Elephas maximus indicus: one gene and its partner. Each later gene encodes a partner of the first gene's protein in a complex. Links are inferred from orthologs where the notes say so. Each region holds a gene or a part of one and is shown on either strand. Other genes may lie near its edges. The genes, in order: SIRT5 and PRDX1.

Region 1 (10,015 bases):
TGGCATGCAGCAACAACAATAACTAATAAGGTCTCTGGGTGGCACAAATGGCTTGCTCTTGGCTACTAACCTGCAGGTGGGTAGTTCAAACCCACCAAGCCGCATTCCAGAAGAAAGGCCTGTTTTTAACATGAAAGGGTATTATGAGAGTCAAGGATTACCAAAGACTTGAGGAAAGTCTTCAACATGAAGGACAGACGAAAACAAACAAAAGAACAAAATGTAGGAGAAAATAAAGACAATGCAGGACACAGAAGAAAGAAAAATTTAAAACATCATAATAGTGTATCAAGATAAAGATATTATATGCAATGTTTCTACTTGTCTCAAAATTTTGGCTGAGGCTCTAAAGGTTGAGAATAGAAGAATAGGTGACAATCACCCCCAGCTTTTAAAGTAAGGTGTTAGGCTCTTCACCTATAGAGGCACACAGTGGTTAACAGCCTGGACTCAAAAGCCACATTGCCTGGGACCAAATCTTGGCTCTGCACTTACCAGCTTTATGACCACAGGCAGGTTATTTAATCTTTCTGTGCTTCAGTTTCATGATCTTCAAAATGCAGATAATCAAAGCCCCCACCCCACAGAGAGATTATGAGGATTAAAGGTGATGATAATACATGGAAAATATTCAGAGCAGTGCCTGGCACTTAGAGCTCAGTAAAATATTAGCTGTTCCTGTTATGCCATCATTGGCCCCTCACCCAGCCTCAGGCATATAAAAGAAAAAACATTCTTTGGACATAGTTGTCAAAGTGCAGGGGTGTTTCCTACCCCCTCATGGGGGTGGAAAAGGGAGCTCTTCCCCTCCCCCTCAAGTCAGGTGAGGAGGACTTCCAGAAAACCACCCAGAGAGTGTGACTGGTGTCCTCTGGATCCAGAGAGACTCAGAGACTGGTATCCAGTGTGTGCTTGAAAAAGTCCAAATGTGAGAGGATGTGGCTAGATGCCTGAAGGGGCAGAGCACAGAGTCAGGGCTGTGTTGGGAATGCTTTTGTGGTGCAGTGAGTTACTTAATATGGCCCTTCTAGCCATAGTCTTTGTGATTCCCACAAAATGGTTGGGTGGGACTATGCAAATAAGGTTCTTGTGGCCCACCAAGGGGATTGGACAGCTTGCTAACAATGCAAATAAGGTGTGTGGAAAACTTGTGGAGGTGGAACCATGTAAATAAAGTATATGGAACCCTAACAAGGCGATTGGTCAGTTTTGCCACCCATGAGGCTTAAAAAGAGAGCCAATCCCAGAGCAGAGAGGAGACTTTACTACCATGAAGAAGAGCCAGGAGCAGAGTGTGTCCTTTGGACCCAAGGTACCTATGCTGGGAATCTCCTAGACCCAGGAGACAGAGAGCTGTAACACTGGAGATAGGGCAAGATGGTGAGAAGTGGCAGCAAGCATGGGAGAGAAACAGCACCAGCAGAACCAGGAGACTGGTACAAGATGGCACAGTGTGTTCCCCAGCCTCCAGAGGGAGGTGGTTACAGTGGGTGTGTTGATCCATGAAGCAAGAATGCTGAGAGCCTCCAGAAAGAAGGTTTGGAAGCAGAGCAGGGTGCCTCTGGGGACTTGTTGGTGGATCTAGCAGCACTGACCCATAGAAAGAGAGAGCTGAGAGCACTTTTGGGCAGGAGGCTGTTTGCAGAGCTAAAGAGCTTCGTAACACTTTCCTGAGCAGGGCAGGGGCCAAGCCTGAGTGGGGGCTGAGGGCTGAGAGAGGAGTCTGTCCTCAGCCTAGGAAACCCTGTGGGTAGTTCTACTCTGTCATATAGAGCCCCTCAAGGGGCCAAAAAGAGATTGCCCTCAGGGGGCCAAAAAGAGCCCTGCACAGCTGGGAGGAGCTGAGAGAGCTGTCCTGCACCAGAGAATGGAGACTTTGCATGTTTTCTGATCCTGATCCTGATCCTGAGTTGTACCTGTTACTTCCCTAATAAACCCCATAATTGTGAGTATTGTCTGTGAGTTCTGTGTGGCCATTGCAACAAATCACTGAATCCAGCAGAGAAGTAGAGAGTGCCGTGGGAGGGATGGCTAGTGTCTGAACTGGTAAAAAGTTTGGAGAAAGGAGGTATATCTGACCTCCACCTCATAGGAACCAGCCTTGGGCTGATGCTGATTCCCCTACCCCCTGAAGTTAAAGGCTCTCTGATGCCACCACACCACCATTTTTATAGCCATTTTACATTTCCAGAGTTTGGCAGAGAAAGGATTCATGCGTGTTTTCCATTGGCCTGATGTGGCTCTGTGGAAGTGGAGTTGGCTACTAGTTTTCTTGGATAGGATCCTGTCCCAGGGGTTTCCTGTCAGGATAGAGGTGCCCTCAGCTGGAAAAGGTGCAAACATATCAAGACTAAGAAGCTGAGGAGGCTCTGACTATGTTAAGGGAGGTACGGATTAAAAGAACCTGTCAAAACTACACAGGTCTCCAACATGAGAAAGAACCAGCATTTGGAACCTGTTGGGACTTTGATCCTTATCTCTGAGGGATCACGGAGGCCAAGGAGCAGGGCAGAAGGGACTCAGAGGAGAGATGTCCTCAAGTATGGACCTGCCCATGTAACTCTATGTGCCCCCAACTGTGGACAGTCTTCCACTCAATGGTAAACACTAGTAAGTGTAGAGAACTTGGACACCTTGTCAGGGATGGATGGGGGCATGAAGGGAGAACTGTATCTGCTGATCAAAATGAAAATGAAAAAATTCACTTGGAAAATTCTCTCTGAGTGTGGCAGTGAGAGACACATTGCTGCTCTTCTGTTTCTTCCACATCTTCAAAAAATAAGAGATACTGCAGCCACCAAAACAAGCAACAACAAACAAGATGCTATAAACATGAAAAAGAACAGAGCTCTTGGACATTAAAATTATGGACACTGTCCCCTTCCCCCACATACCCACCTCTCACCACCCAACCGTTGAAAGACAGTGTGACGTTCCACTGAGCGATACAGACTTTTCCTCACAGAAGAGCATGCAAACACCTGTGCCTCCCATTTTCCTGTCACTATTCACAGTTCAGTTATTCATGACAATTTTATTTCTTAAGTTTGTGCTATGTGCATTTGTTGCTGGGGGTAGTAGGGTTGGAAGAACCTCCTGGCTATATGTTATTTTCAGATGCACTGACCAGCTGACAAGTTACATTAGAGCCTCAACCTTTGGGTGACGTGTGTGGGGGTCCACCTTAGGGCAGGGTCATTCTTGGTGTTGATCATCCCTTGAGCCTCACTCTAGAACCCAGAGAAACTAAGGGGGTGTGCAGAGAGGTCCTGACTTCTTGCCTTTCTCTGTGAAGGGCTCCGGATGCACAGGGGTGGGAGTGGGGGTGTGATGATGAGCATTACCTTGGCATCTTCACGAGGAAACAGGCTGGAGCTGGGAAATACAGAATCTCGGGGGGCTACAATTTGGCACAATTTCTAGATTGTGTTTATATATCTCTTGTAGTTTTGTAATCTTGATGTTTATCTTCTTCCTGCTCTCCCTTAGTATTGAGTAAAACCCCTAGAAAATTCCAACCTTTTCCCGGTGTGTCCAAATAAATCAATAGATAAAGGACACCAACCCTAAGTGTTTATGTTCCATGGGTGTATCTGCATCAGAGGCTTAAAAAGGACCCAGTCCACCTCCTGAGAATCAGTAACAGAGTAACCCCAAGAGGATGTAAAATTCAGGGTGGGGAAATCTGCTTTCCAGAGGGAAAGCTTGGCAGTCTGAATTTCATGAAGGAGGTAATACTACCTTCCAATGTATGTACCTCAAGTTCTTATGCCACCTACCTGGTTACCCCAGGAAAATGTCTGTAGATATAATGAATTATCAATAAGTCATTTTTTCCATGTGCTGCTCTGGACTCACAAGCAAAAAAAGAAAAGGTAATTTCCTTTTCTTAAATTTCAGTAAAGACTGCCAAGCCATTAACCTTATTTCCTGTGAGGCTGTTCATTCATTCATTTAATACATGTTTACTAATTGAGTATCTACTATCAGGGACTGTGAGGTGTTGAGAATACCAGGGTGAGTTTAAAGGAGACAAGGGGGGTCACCTTCAGGGAGCACACAGCCTAGCAGGGGAAGGATACTGTAATCAAATACACAGAGAAAGTGAAATTTGGAAGGGGATAACTGCTATGGTGCTGTACCACCCTACGTCAAAGGTGAGGGATCTCACTCACTGGAGTGGGAGATCGTCTGACAAGGTTTCCTTGAGGAAGTGACAGTAGAGCTGAGACTAGAAGGATGAGAGGAGTTACTATGGAGGGAGTGGGAAAAGAACATTCCAGAAAAAGGGAAAAGCCTTTGTTTTGGAAGAGCAAAGCCATTGAGAAAGTAAGCTGGGGTTCCTTGAAAGATGGAAAGGATAGTGGCTGATGGTTCTAGAAGTGGCCTGACATGCTGGGGAAAGCCAGCTCTTCCAAGTCTGGGAGAAAGAATGGGGGTGAGGGGTGGTGTGGTAGGTAGCTGTGGTGATGGGCTCCTGGACCTTAATGTAATGCAATGTCCCAAAGGTGGCAGAACATTCCAGGAGAGGCGGAGGGCTACATATTGGGTCCGTGGACTGTGTTGTTGTGTGCCATCAATTTGATTCCAATTCATAGTTACCCTATAGGACAAAGCAGAACTGTCCCATAGGGTTTTCAAGGTTGTATCTTTTGACTGCCACATCTTTTTCTCCCAGAGTGGCTGGTGGGTTCAAATTACTGACCTTTCAGTTAGCAGCCGAGTGCTTAATCACTGTACCACCAAGGCTCCTTTTGTGGACTATAGGTTACAATAAAGGGCGTTGGGCCTCCCCTCCTTCCTCCAGTGTCCAACTGAAGTAAAGGATCAACGCTTACTTGACGGCCAGTATCATAAGAACAAAAAGTAATGGAAAAACACTTTGAGTGGTGGTATACCTGGTGGTTCACATCCTAGACTCCGGAACCAAAGCACTTAGGTTCAAATCCCAGCTCTACTAAAAGGCTTTGTGTCTTGGGCAGTTACTTGACCTCCTGGTGTCTCAGTTTCCCCACTTGTAAAGCCAGAAATAATAGTACCTATTTCATCAGATAACAATTTACGGGAGCTAAAGGAGCCCCACAGTGGTCTTAATTCCCATTCAAGCTGTGTGGGTCATGGTTGAGGTCCGAATTAAGGGGATAAAAGTTAACGCAATTTTTTGTTAACCAAGTTTCCGGACCACTTCCTCTTCTAGTTCATTTGGTGTGCCCATAAGTAATTTCATTCTAGGAAAAGTCGTGCTGGTGGTAAGCCTGCTTCAAAGAAAAGGAAAGGGGACCATTTAAAAGGGAACTCAGCCACTTGGAGCCACATAAGCCACCAAGTCCCAGAGCCCCCAAACTGTGCCCTTCTGACACCTGGGTAAGGATTGCAAACACCAGCAGTCTGCAATGCACCTGCACAGGCGAGCAGGTAGCATTCTTCACTGGGTTAGAGGGGTTTGGTGGGCTAGACAGGGAAACCAACTAACCACGACTGGAAATAACATTTCTGAGAACATAACCCAACATCTGAACTGCTCTGTCCTGAAGCTGTGTACAGTGCACCAGCTGTTTGCTCAAGAAGTGCAATGGTTAAGGTTTTGTGTCAACTTGGCTGGGCCATGATGCTCAGTGGTTTGGCAGTTATGATGCAGTTTGGCAGCTAGGTAATGATGTAATCTCCATAATGAGATTTGATATAATGTAATCACCTCCGTGATGAGACTTGTTATGAGCAATTAGTTCAAAGAGAGTTTCCTTGGATTTGGCCTGCAACCAATATAGGTGGACTTTCTGGCTAAAGCTCTCTGGCTTTTGCTTGCTCTAGATCCTGCAGCTAGCTCCTGTCCATCTGACCTCTGGTTCTTGGGACTTGAGCTAGCAGCTTACCTGCCCATTTGGGGTTTGTCTGCCTCAGCAGCCTGTGAGCCAGAGGCCTGCTGCCCCACCCGCCAATCTTGGATTCTCCAGACCCTGCAACTACTTGAGTCAGGAGACGCCTCCAACCAGACCCATAAATTTGGGACTTTCCATCCTCTACAACTGTGTGAGACATTTCCTTGACCTAAATCTCTCTGTATATGTATTTATAGGCCTCACTGGTTTTCCTTCTCTTTTAGAGAACCTGGCCTAAGATAAGGAAGAAGCAAAGCAGATAGTAGTTCACGACATATCTGGGCAACAGAGTGAAACCTGGAAGCTCACAAAGATGAAGCAAAAACTGTCTTTCCACTCCCGCGAGCCCAAATGAAAGAAAAAACAAAAACAAAAAACCGTGCAATAAAAAGAACCGTGGTAATGGGTCCCATTGCTCCGGAGTCCCTCAGCTCCGGGTCTCCGGTAGAGGTCGCTGTCGCCCAGCAGGCGGGTGGCACTGCTCCGCCCCGCGCCCTCTTAGTCCAGCCCCCGCACCCCGGCCCGCCGCCGGCGTCTCCGCCTCCCGTGGTGCAGGTGCGTCTCCGCCCGGGCTGGACTGGGGTCTCCGCGGCCTCGCCTGTTCCCCCCGGAGTCCCCGCCGAGCTCGGCCTCCGGCCGGGCTGTGTCTGTACCGCTCGGTCCCGGGCGAGCCGCGGGCCCTTGGGGTCGGAGGCGGTGCCGGCCGCAGCGCGCATGCCCGGCCCGGCCCATTCCCCGCGGCCTTTAGTGCAGGGCCGTGGGGGGCGCTGGTCTAGGGGGCAGGGGTGGGACAGGCTCTGGAGGGGGGGAGGTGGGCGATCCCGGAGGGCGGGGGCGTGGGGGGAGGGGAAGTGGACGGTCCCCGAGGCGGGGTCAACCCCTGGTGACCGCGGGTCCCGAAGAGCCATCGGAAGCGCAGGCCCCTTGGGGAGGAAGCCTAGACGGCGCTGAGGGCGGGCGCTGGACGCCCCCGGAGGCAGTAGCGGCCGGAGAGGCGAGGGAAGGGGCAGGAAACGAGGTTGGAGACTAACGGGGCCCTAGTAGGTGGGCTTGGTGGCCTCTGTGAAGGGGGAGCCCCAGGAGGGCTCTGAGCAGAGGTTCACCTTTGAGAAGAGCCACTCCTGGCAGGGTCAGTCCTGGCAGGTGATGGTGGCTTGGGCTAGGCGGGGGCAGCGCACGTGGGAGAAGGGGTCGGATACAGGACCTAGAGTGGAGGTGGAGCTGCCAGGGTTTGCTCAAGAGCCTGGCCCGGGGTGAGAGAAAGGGGAGGAGTCAGGGTCAAGGCCTTTGGCCAGAACAGCGCGGGGAGGGAGGGAGGTGCCCAAACCTAGAAGACCAAATGAGGGCGGCTTTGCGAAGAGGAGGCTTGGGGGAAGTTGGAGACCCCGGGCATGGTGGACATTGGAAGGGAGGCGTAGAGAAGGCACTGGGCCTAGCAGTCTAGAGCTTTGGGGGGGATGACCCATTGCCCGTTGCCCTGAAGTTGATTCGGACACACAGCGAGCCTATTGGACAGAGTGGAATTGCCCCGTAGGGTTTCCAGGGAGCAGCTGGTGGATTTGAACTGCGAACCTTTTGGTTAGCAGCCTGAGCTTTTAACATCTGAGTCACCAGGGCTCCCTGGGAGGATGGCAGTGGTATAAACGTGGCAGATCCACTGGCTGGTGATCTCGCAGGGGAGGCACCCTACTGGAAAACTTGGGGGGAGGGGCGGTTAGAGAGCTATCAGGTGAGCATCAGTGGAGTGTGGTGGGAGACCAAGGGAAAGGAGGGCTTTTCGGAGACTCGATGGAGTGGTTGAAAGGTTGGGCATGACCAAGGTGGAGAACAGAGACTCCACTGGATTTAGTAATACGGAGGTGGCTGGTGACCTTGACAAATGTAGGTGGTAGAGTAAGGAGAGGGAATAGAGTACACCTGTGTAGACAACTGGGGACTAGTGCCCCACACTGTATTTAGCTTATAGATATTCAAAGGGTATTTACTGGACACCTGTGAATTAAGCAGAGCCCTGGTGGCACAGTGGTTAAGAGCTCCGCTACTAGCCAAAAGGTTGGCAGTTCTAATCCACCAGCTGTTCTTTGGAAACCCTATAAGGCAGTTCTACTCTGTCCTATAGCACATGAGTCGTAATAGACTGGACAGCAAATGGGTTTGGTTTTTGGGTTTCGTGAATTTTGCAAGTTTTTGTAGTTCCTCTGTGTTATGTATAACCCACCAGCTGTTCCGTGGAAACCCTGCCCTATGAGGTTGCTATGAGTCGGAATTGACTCAGTGGCATTGGGTTTGATTTGGTTTTTTTGTTTTGCATTATAATACCATGTATTTAAAATTAATGTTTTCTGTAAAATTTTTTCTCCCAAATTCCTGATAGAACTTCTCATTTATATATTTTTTGGAATGGATAGCATACCCCTTTTTTTCTCACAGGCAACGTACAGGCATTTTTCTTTACTTTTTTTTTTAAATTCATGAGGTGAACTTCAGGTTTCACAAGAAAGTCTCCTTACAGAAGAGACTGCCCTTACAAGGACTAATGTCATTGTAGGGAATCTGCCCAGCCCCCGGAAAGCTCCCAGTGACTGGTGATTTAAGTTTATTTCCTCCCCTGAAGATTCTCTTCTCACCCCAAGATAAAACCAAGGCAGAGTAATTGGTGGTTTCATCACCCAGGGCAGCCTTCAGTGACTGTCCCCCGGTCCCTTGCACTCCAGGACTGAGTTCTCAGGCCTCAGACTCTCACAGTGGCACTGCCCTGCGCTTGTTTTCAGGCTCCAACAGAATTGTAAGCTTCTGGAAGTTAGAACCACTGCCCACTCCCTAGAAAAACAGGTAAGTGTTGGCACAGAGGATACTTCCAATAAAGATTTTTGTGGTGGTTGTGGCTGTTAGTTGCAGCTCAGACTCATGGTGACCTTACGTAGAACTGAATGTTCCTGATCCTGTGCCACCTTCAAGATTGTTGGTGGGTTTGAGTCCATTGTTGGGGCTATTGTGTTCCCCTCATTGAGGGCTCCCCTCATTTCCATTGGCCCTCTAGTCTTAATGTTCTGAGCATTTCCATAATTGGAAATAAATTTGAGGTGGTATTCAAAAATGTTAAAAACTTTGCTTTTATCTTTACTTTGTTTTCACATTTGGAGAGACTCCTGCAGAACATCTTGTAAATTACTTGAAAATTTTGCAAATTCTGATAATTCCATTTCCTTAAAAAGAAAATCATGTGAAATGTCCACTGATAAGCAATAGAGTGGTTTTTGTCACCAGTGAGACCAAAATTGCCTCACTGATCCATTACTTCAGATAGACATGAAAGACTTTATCTAATCTATTGTTCCACTAATCTGTGACTTAGTGTGGATAAAAGAAGGAACCCTGGTGGCACAGTGGTTAAGTGTTCCACTGATAACTGAAAGGTTGGCGTTTTGAACCCACCAGCCATAAGGATTACAGCCTTGGAAACCCAATGGGGAAGTTCTACCCTGTCCTTTGGAGCTGCTGTGAGTTGGAATTCACTCTATGGCAGTGGGTTTGGGTGGATAAAAAGTTTGAAATAAAAATTAGTATTTTAATTGCATACAATTGAATACAATACACAAATATGTATGTATGTATAATATATGATTAAACCAAAACCCATCGCTGTTGCGTCGATTCCAAATGCCCCATAGGGTTTCCAAGGAGCACCTGGTGGATTTGAACTGTTGACCTTTTGGTTAGCTGCGGTAGCTCTTAACCACTCTACCACCACAGTTTCCTGTGTGTGATTAGACATTATAATTCACATGATAAGATGAGAACCAAAACTGTCTTCCCCCCAAGTTCTTGCTGATTGCATTTCCTAGGCAAAGAATTTAGAAGCTAGTGATTTTTGGAGATGTTGAAACATGAATAAGTAAAACTTCTTTTCTGCTTTATTATTTTGGGTTTAGTATTATTACTATTATTCAATAATTAAAACATTTGAATAGAAAAACTTAGACAATGAAAAATTAGTAACATTTTACCGAAATAATACAAGTTCTAATTTTAAAATTCTTTAGAATTATCATATTTGCCACGAATACCTTTATAATCAGCAACAGGTCCAGCACTCAAGTTTAGAGTAGAATGAAGATTTGCCTTCATTACACGGC
Region 2 (10,135 bases), on another chromosome or scaffold:
TATCAGGGTTGCACCCTTTCACCATACCTATTCAATATTTATGCTGAGCAAATAATCCGAGAAGCTGGACTCTATGAAGAAGAAGTGGGCATCAGGATTGGATGAAGACTCATTAACAACCTGCGTTATCCAGATGACACAACCCTGCTTCCTGAAATTGAAGAGGACTTGAAGCACTTACTGACGAAGATCAAAGACCTTCAGCGTGGATTACACCTCAACATAAAGAAAACAAAAGTATTTATAACTGGACCAATAAGCAACATCATGATAAATGGAGAAAAGATTGAAGTTGTCAAGGATTTCATTTTACTTGAATCCACAATCAACACTCATGGAAGCAACAGTCAGGAAATCAAGAGACGTATAGCATTGGGCAAATCTTCTGCAAAAGACCTCTTTAAAGTGTTGAAAAGCAAAGATGTCACCTTAAAGACTCAGGTGTGCCTGATGCAAGCCATGGTGTTTTCAATTGCTTCCTATGCATGTGAAAGCTGGATGATGAAGAAGGAAGACCGAAGAATTGATGGCTTTAAATTGTGGTGTTGGAGAAGAATATTGAACTGCCAAAAGAATGAACAAATCTGTCTTGGAAGAAGTACAGCCAGAATGCTCCTTAGAAACAAGAATGGCAAGACTATGTCTCACATACTTAGGACATACTGTCAGGAGGTGTCAGCCCCTGGAGAAATACATCATACTTGGTAAAGTAGAGGGTCCGCAAAAAAGTGGAAGACCCTTAATGAGGTGGACTGACACAGTGGCTGCAACAATGGGCTTAAGCATAATAATGATTGTGAGGATGGTGTACAACTGGGCAGTGTTTCGTTCTGTTGTGCAGAGGGTTGCTATGAGTCAGAACTGACTTGATAGCACCTAACAACAACAACAACAATGTTAAATAGCATATAAAACAAAGAACTAGATTTCTTGCTATTAAAATAACAAAATTTTCTTTGATTTCTGAGTTAAAGAGTTAATTTATTTGTGTAATCTGCCTTGAAGACAAAGGTTTGGCCTCTCGTTAGAGTAAGATTCCTGAGTCAAAAACCAAGCTGCGTGGCTTTAGAAAAAAAAAAAGCTAAGGTTTTTACGTTTCAGATCTTTGGCCTAATAACTTAAGTTTTGTTTCTCAGTGACCTTTAATAAGCTCCTGACAACCTTGAAACTTCTTGGAAAGCCACGAATTTTTTTTTTTAATAAAGGAAAAGTGCTAAAAAGATTATTTCAATATGTTATAAATTTCATGGAATGTGTTGTCAGAATCAAGAGAAGCGCCTGATTCTCTTTGGGTTAAAATTTATATGTTAGTGTTTTCTCTTATGTTTTTGCCTAATAGTGAAAATATTAGACAATAAATGAATAAGATTGTGTCATAATTTTATTATTATTTCTTACTTGCTAACTGGGTTACAACTTTATTAAATCAGTGGTTCGATTGGGGAATTCACATCATTTACCTATGAATTTTTTTTTTTATTACTATTCAGGTATTTAGAGACTTGACAATCTTGGTATATCCTGACTATATGGTATTATGTCTTAAGATTATTATGTATTATATCTGAAGCTCTTTGGAAATAAGGTTAACCATTATTTTTAGTATTATTTTTTATCTAACGTGTTTTAACTGATTTTATTTGGCCTTTACATTATGCTTGTAATTAATTTCTATCAAGTGTTTCACAATTAAGAGTGTTATTTATATAAGTTAATTATGGCCATATTCAGTTTTGTCATCTGCAGATAAGTGTTTACTTTGCTGATTTGCTGAAAACATTTGACCAAATTTCTCAACAAAAAGATGGACTGTATTGGACTTGTGAAAAGGACTGTGACTAGACTGAATAAAATTTCCAGAACTCTTATGCAGAGGCTGATGGGCTTACAGACCAGCTGAAACAGAAATTAACTACATAAGATTGAGTAAAGGATACTATGGGTTTTATGTGGGAATGTTGTTGATGCTTTAAGGTTCTACTTTCTAGATATAAGAAATTGTTTTCTTTCTCCTAAATTATCTAACTAATGGGTTTGGATATTTTAACTGTTGAATTAGAAGTTCCTGTTGGTAAACTTAGCAAAGTTGTAAATATAAATTTCTGAAGTTGGAGCTATAATTTTATAAAATAGAACAGCATTTCCTATTAGTCTCTCAAGGAACAGTTTTGTGCCTTAACGGATAAATGTTGCTATATTTATTTAAATACACAACCTGAGGTTTTGCAGAATGTAGTTGCTACTGAGACAACATGAAAAGCAGTTACTGATGCGGCTTATGCATAAATAAACCCCTCATGAAATTTGTTTTCTTGGTTCAAAGACCTTAGGGTCATGGTTTCATTAGTTATTTCAGACAGTTGGCCTCATACTATTGTTAGTGTTTCTATTCTACTTCCTAGTTCGCTGTATGGTGCCTGGGATCTTAAAAACCAGATGGTGCCCAATTACTGTTTATTGAGCATTTTTGATCAAAGATTCTATAGCAAGATCATGATCCAAAGGAGGGAACCATGAAAGAGTTATAATTCTTCTGGAATCCAGATTTCTGGCTTTCATGGAGGTTAGAGTAACCCATAATAGGAAATGCTGTTCTATTTCATATTTTAAAATTATAGCTCCAACTTCAGACATTTATATTTACAACTTTGCTATTGCCTTTGGGTGTCATTTTGAACCTTGAGCTTTGAGGAAAAAAAGGGTTCCTTGAAGAATTCAGTCTTTTGGGGAAACTGACTCCAAAGATTAGACTGAGAGTTACGTTTAGGGTAAATCAGTAATCCGTTTAATTAGTCTTCAAGACAGTCTAACGTTTATAATCAAACTCTCACCCTCTTACTATGTAGAAATTTATGTATCTTAAAGAAACCAGGTTCTCAGAGGAGGTCGACCTCATGGTTCAGACTCCATATTGTCTTAGGCTCCACTTTTGCTTCTGAGAAAGTGACTCATGACTGTTAATAGATAAACCAAAGAGGGGCAGCCTGCACTCAGGAAGAACACTTATTATGTTTTAAAGAGATTAACTGACGATCTCCAACAGGTGAGGTCCATCCTCTATTATCTTGCTAATCGTGAATTTTCTAATTCTCTGTTTGTCACATGTAAATTTTTCTATATTTTCTGTTTTCTCCAGACAAACTTTGTGTCTCCTTGTGGATATATGTTTTTATGTGGTAGAGCCAACTATACTAGTTTAGATGACTCCTTTCCAATTGATAGTGAATTTACGTGGGCAATCTCTTGTTTAGATCTCTGGTGAATGCATGGGCAATGCACTTTGGGAATGTTAGGATTACCTTTAGATATTCATAGTAATGATGCCAGTAAATATTGGAAAGGTAATGTTAAACTGTTATACATTGTAAAATGAAAGTCAGATGAAAACTCATTGGTTTAGCGCTCAGGGTATTGTTGGTAGCTTTAATTCCTACTTATGGTATAGTTGAATTGGAGAAATCTTTAAGAAATTTATCAATCACTATGCAACTAATAGATGAAGTTGCTAATGGGGTGGAAACACAACAGCAATCTCTGACCTCATAAGCCAAGGTGACATGAGATAATGGAATAGCCTTAGATTTTTTTATTGGTCCAAGAAAGTGTAATCTGTGCTGTAGCAAATACCTCTTGTTTCATTTGGATAAATAACACAGGAGAAGTAGAACAGGATATACATAGAATTAGACAGGCTACTTGGTTACACACTGTAATACCCTTACAAATACCAGATTTATTTAGTTGGTTACCATCAGGAATAAGTACATGGGCTAGATCACTATTGCAAGGGATAGTAATATTTTTAGTCTGTATCCTGATAGTATTATGCATAATAAAATTTATCTTCTATTGTCTTACACACCTAAAAGCCAAAAGGAGGCCTCGAGCTAAAATGTTGATGTACATTTAGTCTGCTTACTTCAGCAACGCAATTAATGAGAACGTTGCTCTTACTTAAGATTCTGGTGAAGAACCAGATGGTATCTGGTGGAAAACCAGCACTGTGAGTTTAAAGAGCCTACCATGGCCGCCATCTAGGAGCTCCACTAAGTCCAGGTATTGATCATCGATGTCTTATCTCCAACTTCCAATCAAAAGGAGGGAATGATTTAGTAGATGATATTGGAGCCATTATTCCTTGTCCTGGAATGTGACTCAGCTGGAGCTGGACTCACAAGGACTGTTGTAGGGGAAAAAACATCACAAAGTTTAGTAACCCAAAAAGAAAGCTTTATTTGGCATATATTCAAAAAGACAAAAGTGGGAAGCAGACAAGCATGCTGCCAGAGCTAATAATGTCTGCCCCAAGCTGGAGGAAGGCTACATTAGTAACATTACAAAAATGGGTAGAATCGTTGAAAGCTTCACCTTTTCACAGATTGGCTAGAAACTGTGGTATTACATTTTGAATTGCTTTTCTTAATAATCATTGGTATAGGTTTCAGTAACTGACAGTCAGAAGGGTCTTCATTGGTCCAACAAATATCTACTCACTAAATGTTAATAGAAAAAGGTAAGAGTGCAAAGTCTTTTGTGTTTTGTTTGATTGGCTTTATGTAAAAAGTTCCCTAAAAGATATTTTTCTTCCCTAAAAGATAATTTCTAAGATTGCTCTATCTATTGTCTTTATCTCTGGGCCCAGCGCATGTGTCCTTGTGACTCTTTGTGGGCCCAGCTTCAGCTGGGTAACATTCTCTATGCTCAAGGACAGGGAATAATAATCCCAATATTATTTTCTAAATTAAGACCCACAAAGACTCACAAGGACACATAAACTGGGCCCTGAGGCATAAAGACAATGGCTAGGACAATCTTGGAACACATCTTTTAGGGAATCTTCCACATAAGCTAGTAAAACAGCACAGAAGACCCATATGGTTTCCATTGTTACCTTTTTCTACTAGCATTTAGTGAATAGTAAGATTTGTTAGGCCAATGATGACCCTCCTATCATTACTGAAGCCTAGACCAATGATTGTTAAGAAAGACACTTCAAAATATAGGATCACGGTTTCTAGCCCATTTGTGAAAAGGTAAAACTTTTAATGGTTTTGCCTATTTGTAATGTTAATATATACTGATGATTCTGCATTGTTCTTTGGACAGACATGGCTCTAGCAGCAGGCATGTCTATTTTCCCACTTTATTCTGTAATATTTGCTTGGAGTTTGGGCAGACAAGGCCCTAACAGTATGCTTGTCCTTTTCCCACTTTTGCCTCTTTGCATATATGCCAAATAAAACTTTTCTTTTTGCTTTACTAAACTTTGTGATTTTTTTTTTTTCCCTACAACAAGCCATTCCCAGAGACTATCTTTTAGCCAGACCATAGACAGGCCCACAAAATAAAAACACTAGAGAGGAACATGCTCCTTAGAACAACCAATTGAACTAAATCAAAAGGGCAATATCTGCCCACAGGGATAGATGAGAAGGCAGGGAGGGGTAAAAAATCAGGACGAAAGGAAATGGGGAACCTAGGGAGGAAATGGGGAGAGTCCTGACACATCGTGGGGAATTAAACCAATGCTATTTTTTATGGAACATTTTATGCACAAACTATCAAATGGGAAACTAATTTGCTCTGTAAACTGTAACCCAATGCACAATTAAAAAAACAAAATCATAAGGCTTTTAATTCAGGGAATTGACTACAGAGCCCTGGTTTTTAAATCACAAATCCAAGGAGTGACATGATCACATTTCAATAAGATTCCCTTCAGCTATAGTGGAAGGAATGGATGGGAGATGGAAAACAGCTCAGCCAATAATCGGAATAATAAAGCGGCTTTATATTTTTATCCAAGGTACAGAAACCAGGGATACTAGTCATCTGGCAGACGCTGCGGTGACTGGGACGATTTGAGAAGTATTTAGATACTTCTCTCAGGGCTTGGTGTGTAGTTCCCAGGATGTCCTCCGTGAGCGACAGCGAGGACCCTTAATCTGGTTTGCGCTTTAAGGGCACAGCGCGCAAGGGGTCCTAGAAGTAAAGGAATCCCGGCCCCCATTGAGATCATAAATTAATTGAGGACTTTGGGCTTGAGGGCGGCCGAGAGTGCATCCCACTCTCCGACCTCAGCCGTTGGTGGCGGCAGTGATGACTGGGGGCGATTAGTACTATCTGCGACCACTCCCGCCCCTCAGCGAGGGGAAGTGCTGAGTCATTCTGGCGAGGCGCGATGGGACCCGACTGCGAGTGGGGCAGATTCCCCCTCCCTCTCCTCCTCCTGCACCCCCGGCCCACGCCGACTCTCGCGAGAGCCCAAGAAACTATAAAGGCAGCGCCCCACGCAAGCTCCGCAAATTCTTTTCCTGGCTGATCTTGGTGCCTTCTGTTTTGCAACTGGTGAGTCTCTAGGTAGCTTGGCCTCGCGAACCCCCCCACCTGTTGCTACTTTCTGCTCTCTTGCTTTTCTCCGGGGCTCACATAGTCTCTGTTGGAGGCGCCGTGACCGGCGAGGCGGCCCGCGGGGGCCTGGCGCCTGAAAGTGTTTGGGCGGTCCCCTCACCCCGCGTTGCGCATCTCCTTGTGCTTTCGGGGACTGGTTGAGCCCCGAGGCTTACACCCGCTCCAGTCTCTTTCCCTCGAGCAAAGTGTGCTGGTTGGCTTGGCGCGCGGCTGGGTGAGGCGGCGTGGGAGCTCCACGGCTAGCCTCCTGCGAGGCAGGGCGGGTTCGGGAAGCTTCTGGAGTGGACCTAGAACCAGAGCTGTGGCTGCAGAAGGTTACCCGTAATCGGTCTTTGTGTGGTAGAGGTGAAAGCGGCCCCGGTCTTCAGCTGTGATTTGCTGTGAGGTTTTCCCAAATTCCCTCGCTGAAGAATGCGCAATCTTTTCTGCTGGCGATTTCCGAACTACTAGGATGAGGGTGACGTTGGGAGCGGCAAGAAGGTACCTGAACTGGGCTTTGCAGGCGTGGCCCTCTCTAGGGGGTTTGGGAGCGTGTCTCCTGAGGGCGCCGCACCGACCGGAAGTCCAGCAGACTTTCCTCTTGGTTGGTCGGGCTTTTGTGGTGTTGGGGTCACCTGGAAAAACAGGTTTGGACGAGAAGCCTGTTTCTCTTAGGGCCACACCCCGTCGCCAAGTTGCAGCGTACCTTACGGTTTCTTTGTTAAAGGGTGTTAAAATAGTTTTTATTTTATACAGGCTGTGAAACCTTTGCGAAGATCGATTCTAGGCATGCGCACAACGTTTCCTTTGATTGTATTATGAACCGAGAACTTTGGGCATTACGGGAAAATTAGTTTCTTAGGGTTTTCAAACCGGTAACTTAATTGAGTTAAATCTTAACTCCTTATCTTGGTATTGATCTGGGCGAATCCAATGCATTAAACTGAACTCTTGATGGCACTGATTTTTCTTCCGGGATCTCGGCCCCGAGGCCAGACACCCATTTTGAAAAGACTTCTAGGGCTAAATCCAATACCTAAAGTTTTTAAATTGAGCAGATGCCAGAATCTTGGTCTGGATTGGCTTTAGGGCGTGTGCTTTCTTGGGCACATCCACCTGGAGAAAGTTCCAGTGCACTTTACATCTTATAGATGGAGGTGCAGTCGGCAGAAAGGCAACATGAGGGCTTGTGGGAGTCAGGCAATCAGCGTTGGTGGCTTTGTGCATTGTGTACTTGGGTTCTGGTTTGAGAGTCTCTACCTTATCCCTCCCTTCTCGGTGCTTCTGTATAATGAAAAGGCAGAAGAAAATGCCGGTTCATAATGTCTCAGAAAAGGTGACTTCGACTTACTAAAAAATTGTCCTTTTTAGATGAAAACAAAGACTGAGATTTCAGAGACTTTTGTAACATCTGGGTTTGGTCCAGAAATTAGAAAGCTCAGATTGTGGCCCTTCCATTGTGACTCTTGGCTGCTGGCTTGCATTACTAATGATAAAAATTTTGTGTTCAGGACCACTGGACCTGATTGTTCTTGGTTCTACCACTAAGTCCCTAAGTAGGTGAGAGCTACCTTGTATCTAAAAAGACAAGACTTGTTTTTAATTCATTTTCTTTTATCTTTTCCAGCTGATAACAAGATGTCTTCAGGAGCTGCTAAAATTGGGCACCCTGCCCCCAACTTCAAAGCTACAGCCGTTATGCCAGATGGTCAGTTCAAAGATATCAGCTTGTCTGACTACAAAGGTAAGAGTAATTACATGGGATTCATTATAATGGAATTATGATCCAGAGATAACTTGTTAAATTTTGGTATCTGTTACATTTGATTCTAAAATTCTTTGTATCTCCCAGGACAAGGCCTTTAGGGCAGGATTCTGTTACCTTTATGCTGAAGCAAAAGAGTGATGATCAGTGTTTACAGAATAGATATTGTAGGTTCAGACTTCTTCTGGAGAAGGCACATGCTTCATTATATGTAACCATATTAGGTCAATTTGATTTTCTCAGTACTTCTGAATTGTTTTCATTATCATCTCTTCTGTTAAGACGCCTGGCCAGGCCCAGTGGTTAAGAGCTTGCCTGCTAACCAAAAGGTTGGGAGTTCAAATCCACTAGCCCCTCCTGGAAACCCTGTGGAGCAGTTCTACTCTGTCCTGTAGGGTTGCTGGTGAGTCGGAATCAACTTGATGTCAACGGGTTTGCTTTTTTTGCTATATTCTCAAGTCTTTGGGCTATGATACAGCTTAGTGGTCATTTGTGAAATGTGTGTGTCACAGCCATTACGTTATTAGGCAGAGGGCTCAGGCCCATTCCCTTGACTGTTTTTGCCGCCCCCGCCCCCCCGCGCCAGAGAAGAGTTGATGTCACAGCTGAAACAACTCCCCTTAGTTACGTGCAGACACTTGGCAGTCTCTAATGAGGCCATTCCTTTCTTGCAGTCCCAGAGCACCTGGGTCTTCTGGGATAAAGATTTCTTAGAATGCAAACCTCGAACTCAAGTGTACTTCCCTTAGTGGTGTAGTAATTGGTTCTTGGAGTTGGCTTTTGGGTAGAACTTTTAACTAGGTTTCCTAACACGTCGCACTTGTTCGATGGTGATGAGAGCAAGTAAGTGGGGCCCTGTGGAGGGAAGCTTCTCCTGACAAAGTAAGTAACACCAGAGGTACGTGACCCTGGCCCAAGAGTATAGGCATTAGGTCTAGGAGGAGCAGCTCTCTGCCCTCCAGGGCTTGATCTGCTGAGGCTTCAAAGTGCTTGTTAGGTAAAGCCCTGGAGGAGTTATTTAGATGAGTCAGCTTCTAGTTACTTTCCTTTTCAAAGTAAATGTCAAAAAAAAAGGCTACCTGGGAATAAAGTAAATGTTTGGAGTTGTTCCATAGCTCAGCACGTTAGGTGTGGTAAGAGACTTCCTGGACAGTTTGAAGGTCTACTTCAACTGGTAATCTGAGTGACCAGTAAAATTCCAGTTAGAAGTTGTGTTAACCTACCGGGACTTTTGAAACTTTGTTTATAAGATTTTTATTTCTTGTCCTGTCAGGTTTGTTAGGAACGAGTTTGTGGCGATTGAGGTCCTTAAAGGTCCTTACCGGTCCCATCACTATGGTTCATTGTGAAAGACGTACAAAGGCTGACTTCCTTTTGTTGGTTTCTTGTCACCTGTCAGCAGAGAGCTCAGCAATTCAGCTCTGGGCACTCTTCTAAGCATTGGCAATATGCCACCCAGTTAAAAGTGATAATTGCGTTTTGCTTTCCTTCATTGGAGTAAGAACGTGGTGTTTATACTCTTGCCTTAACTAACCGTAGGAGTAGATAGAGGTTATAGGAGTTACAGTTGGCAGCTAATGAGGAGGCAGGAGAATAAAGCATGGAGCTAGAAAGAATTTTTTCTCATTCAGATGTATGAGTCTCCAGGCCCTCCTGCTGCAACAAGTTCTAAAATAGATGCTAGGAGACAGCTATGTTGAGTCGTCTTGCCCGGGCTTTGAATCTGTTCGTTCTGGTTCAAACCCCTATTGAGAATTGCATTTTTAACAAGTTCCAGGTGATGCTGATGTTGCTGGTTAGGGACCATGCCAGAACCACTAGTACATCAGTGGTTCTCAAAATCTATTACACGTAAGGATCATCTGTGGATATTGTGAAAGTGTAGGGCCTGATTCAGTATATCTGCGGTGGAAATGAAAATTCTCAGCAGGGGTTCAAACCAGAATGAACTGGTTTGAAGCCCTGGTCTTGTCATTTAAC

Evidence for each region.
Region 2: the proteins of SIRT5 (region 1) and PRDX1 are in contact, whole or in part, in a crystal structure (PDB 8Z54), measured with the Homo sapiens proteins. The link is inferred for Elephas maximus indicus from reciprocal best matches to the Homo sapiens genes SIRT5 and PRDX1. Residues at the interface, in NP_001363727.1 of Homo sapiens: Ala86, Tyr102, Arg105, Gln140, Ile142, His158, Val220, Val221, Trp222, Phe223, Gly224, Glu225, Asn226, Leu227, Leu232, Val253, Val254, Tyr255, Pro256; in NP_001189360.1 of Homo sapiens: Phe195, Ser196, Lys197, Gln198.

Annotation. Positions count from the first base shown.
Region 1 is NC_064819.1:57,937,465-57,947,479, forward strand, and holds the start of SIRT5 (NAD-dependent protein deacylase sirtuin-5, mitochondrial), read left to right. Parts: upstream 1-6,351; 5' UTR 6,352-6,434; intron 6,435-6,730; exon of another isoform or gene 6,731-6,897; intron 6,898-6,909; exon of another isoform or gene 6,910-8,711; intron 8,712-10,015. UniProt on the Homo sapiens protein: NAD-dependent lysine demalonylase, desuccinylase and deglutarylase that specifically removes malonyl, succinyl and glutaryl groups on target proteins.
Region 2 is NC_064821.1:87,926,668-87,936,802, reverse strand, and holds the start of PRDX1 (peroxiredoxin-1), read left to right. Parts: upstream 1-6,247; 5' UTR 6,248-6,348; intron 6,349-8,017; 5' UTR 8,018-8,028; coding exon 8,029-8,134; intron 8,135-10,135. UniProt on the Homo sapiens protein: Thiol-specific peroxidase that catalyzes the reduction of hydrogen peroxide and organic hydroperoxides to water and alcohols, respectively.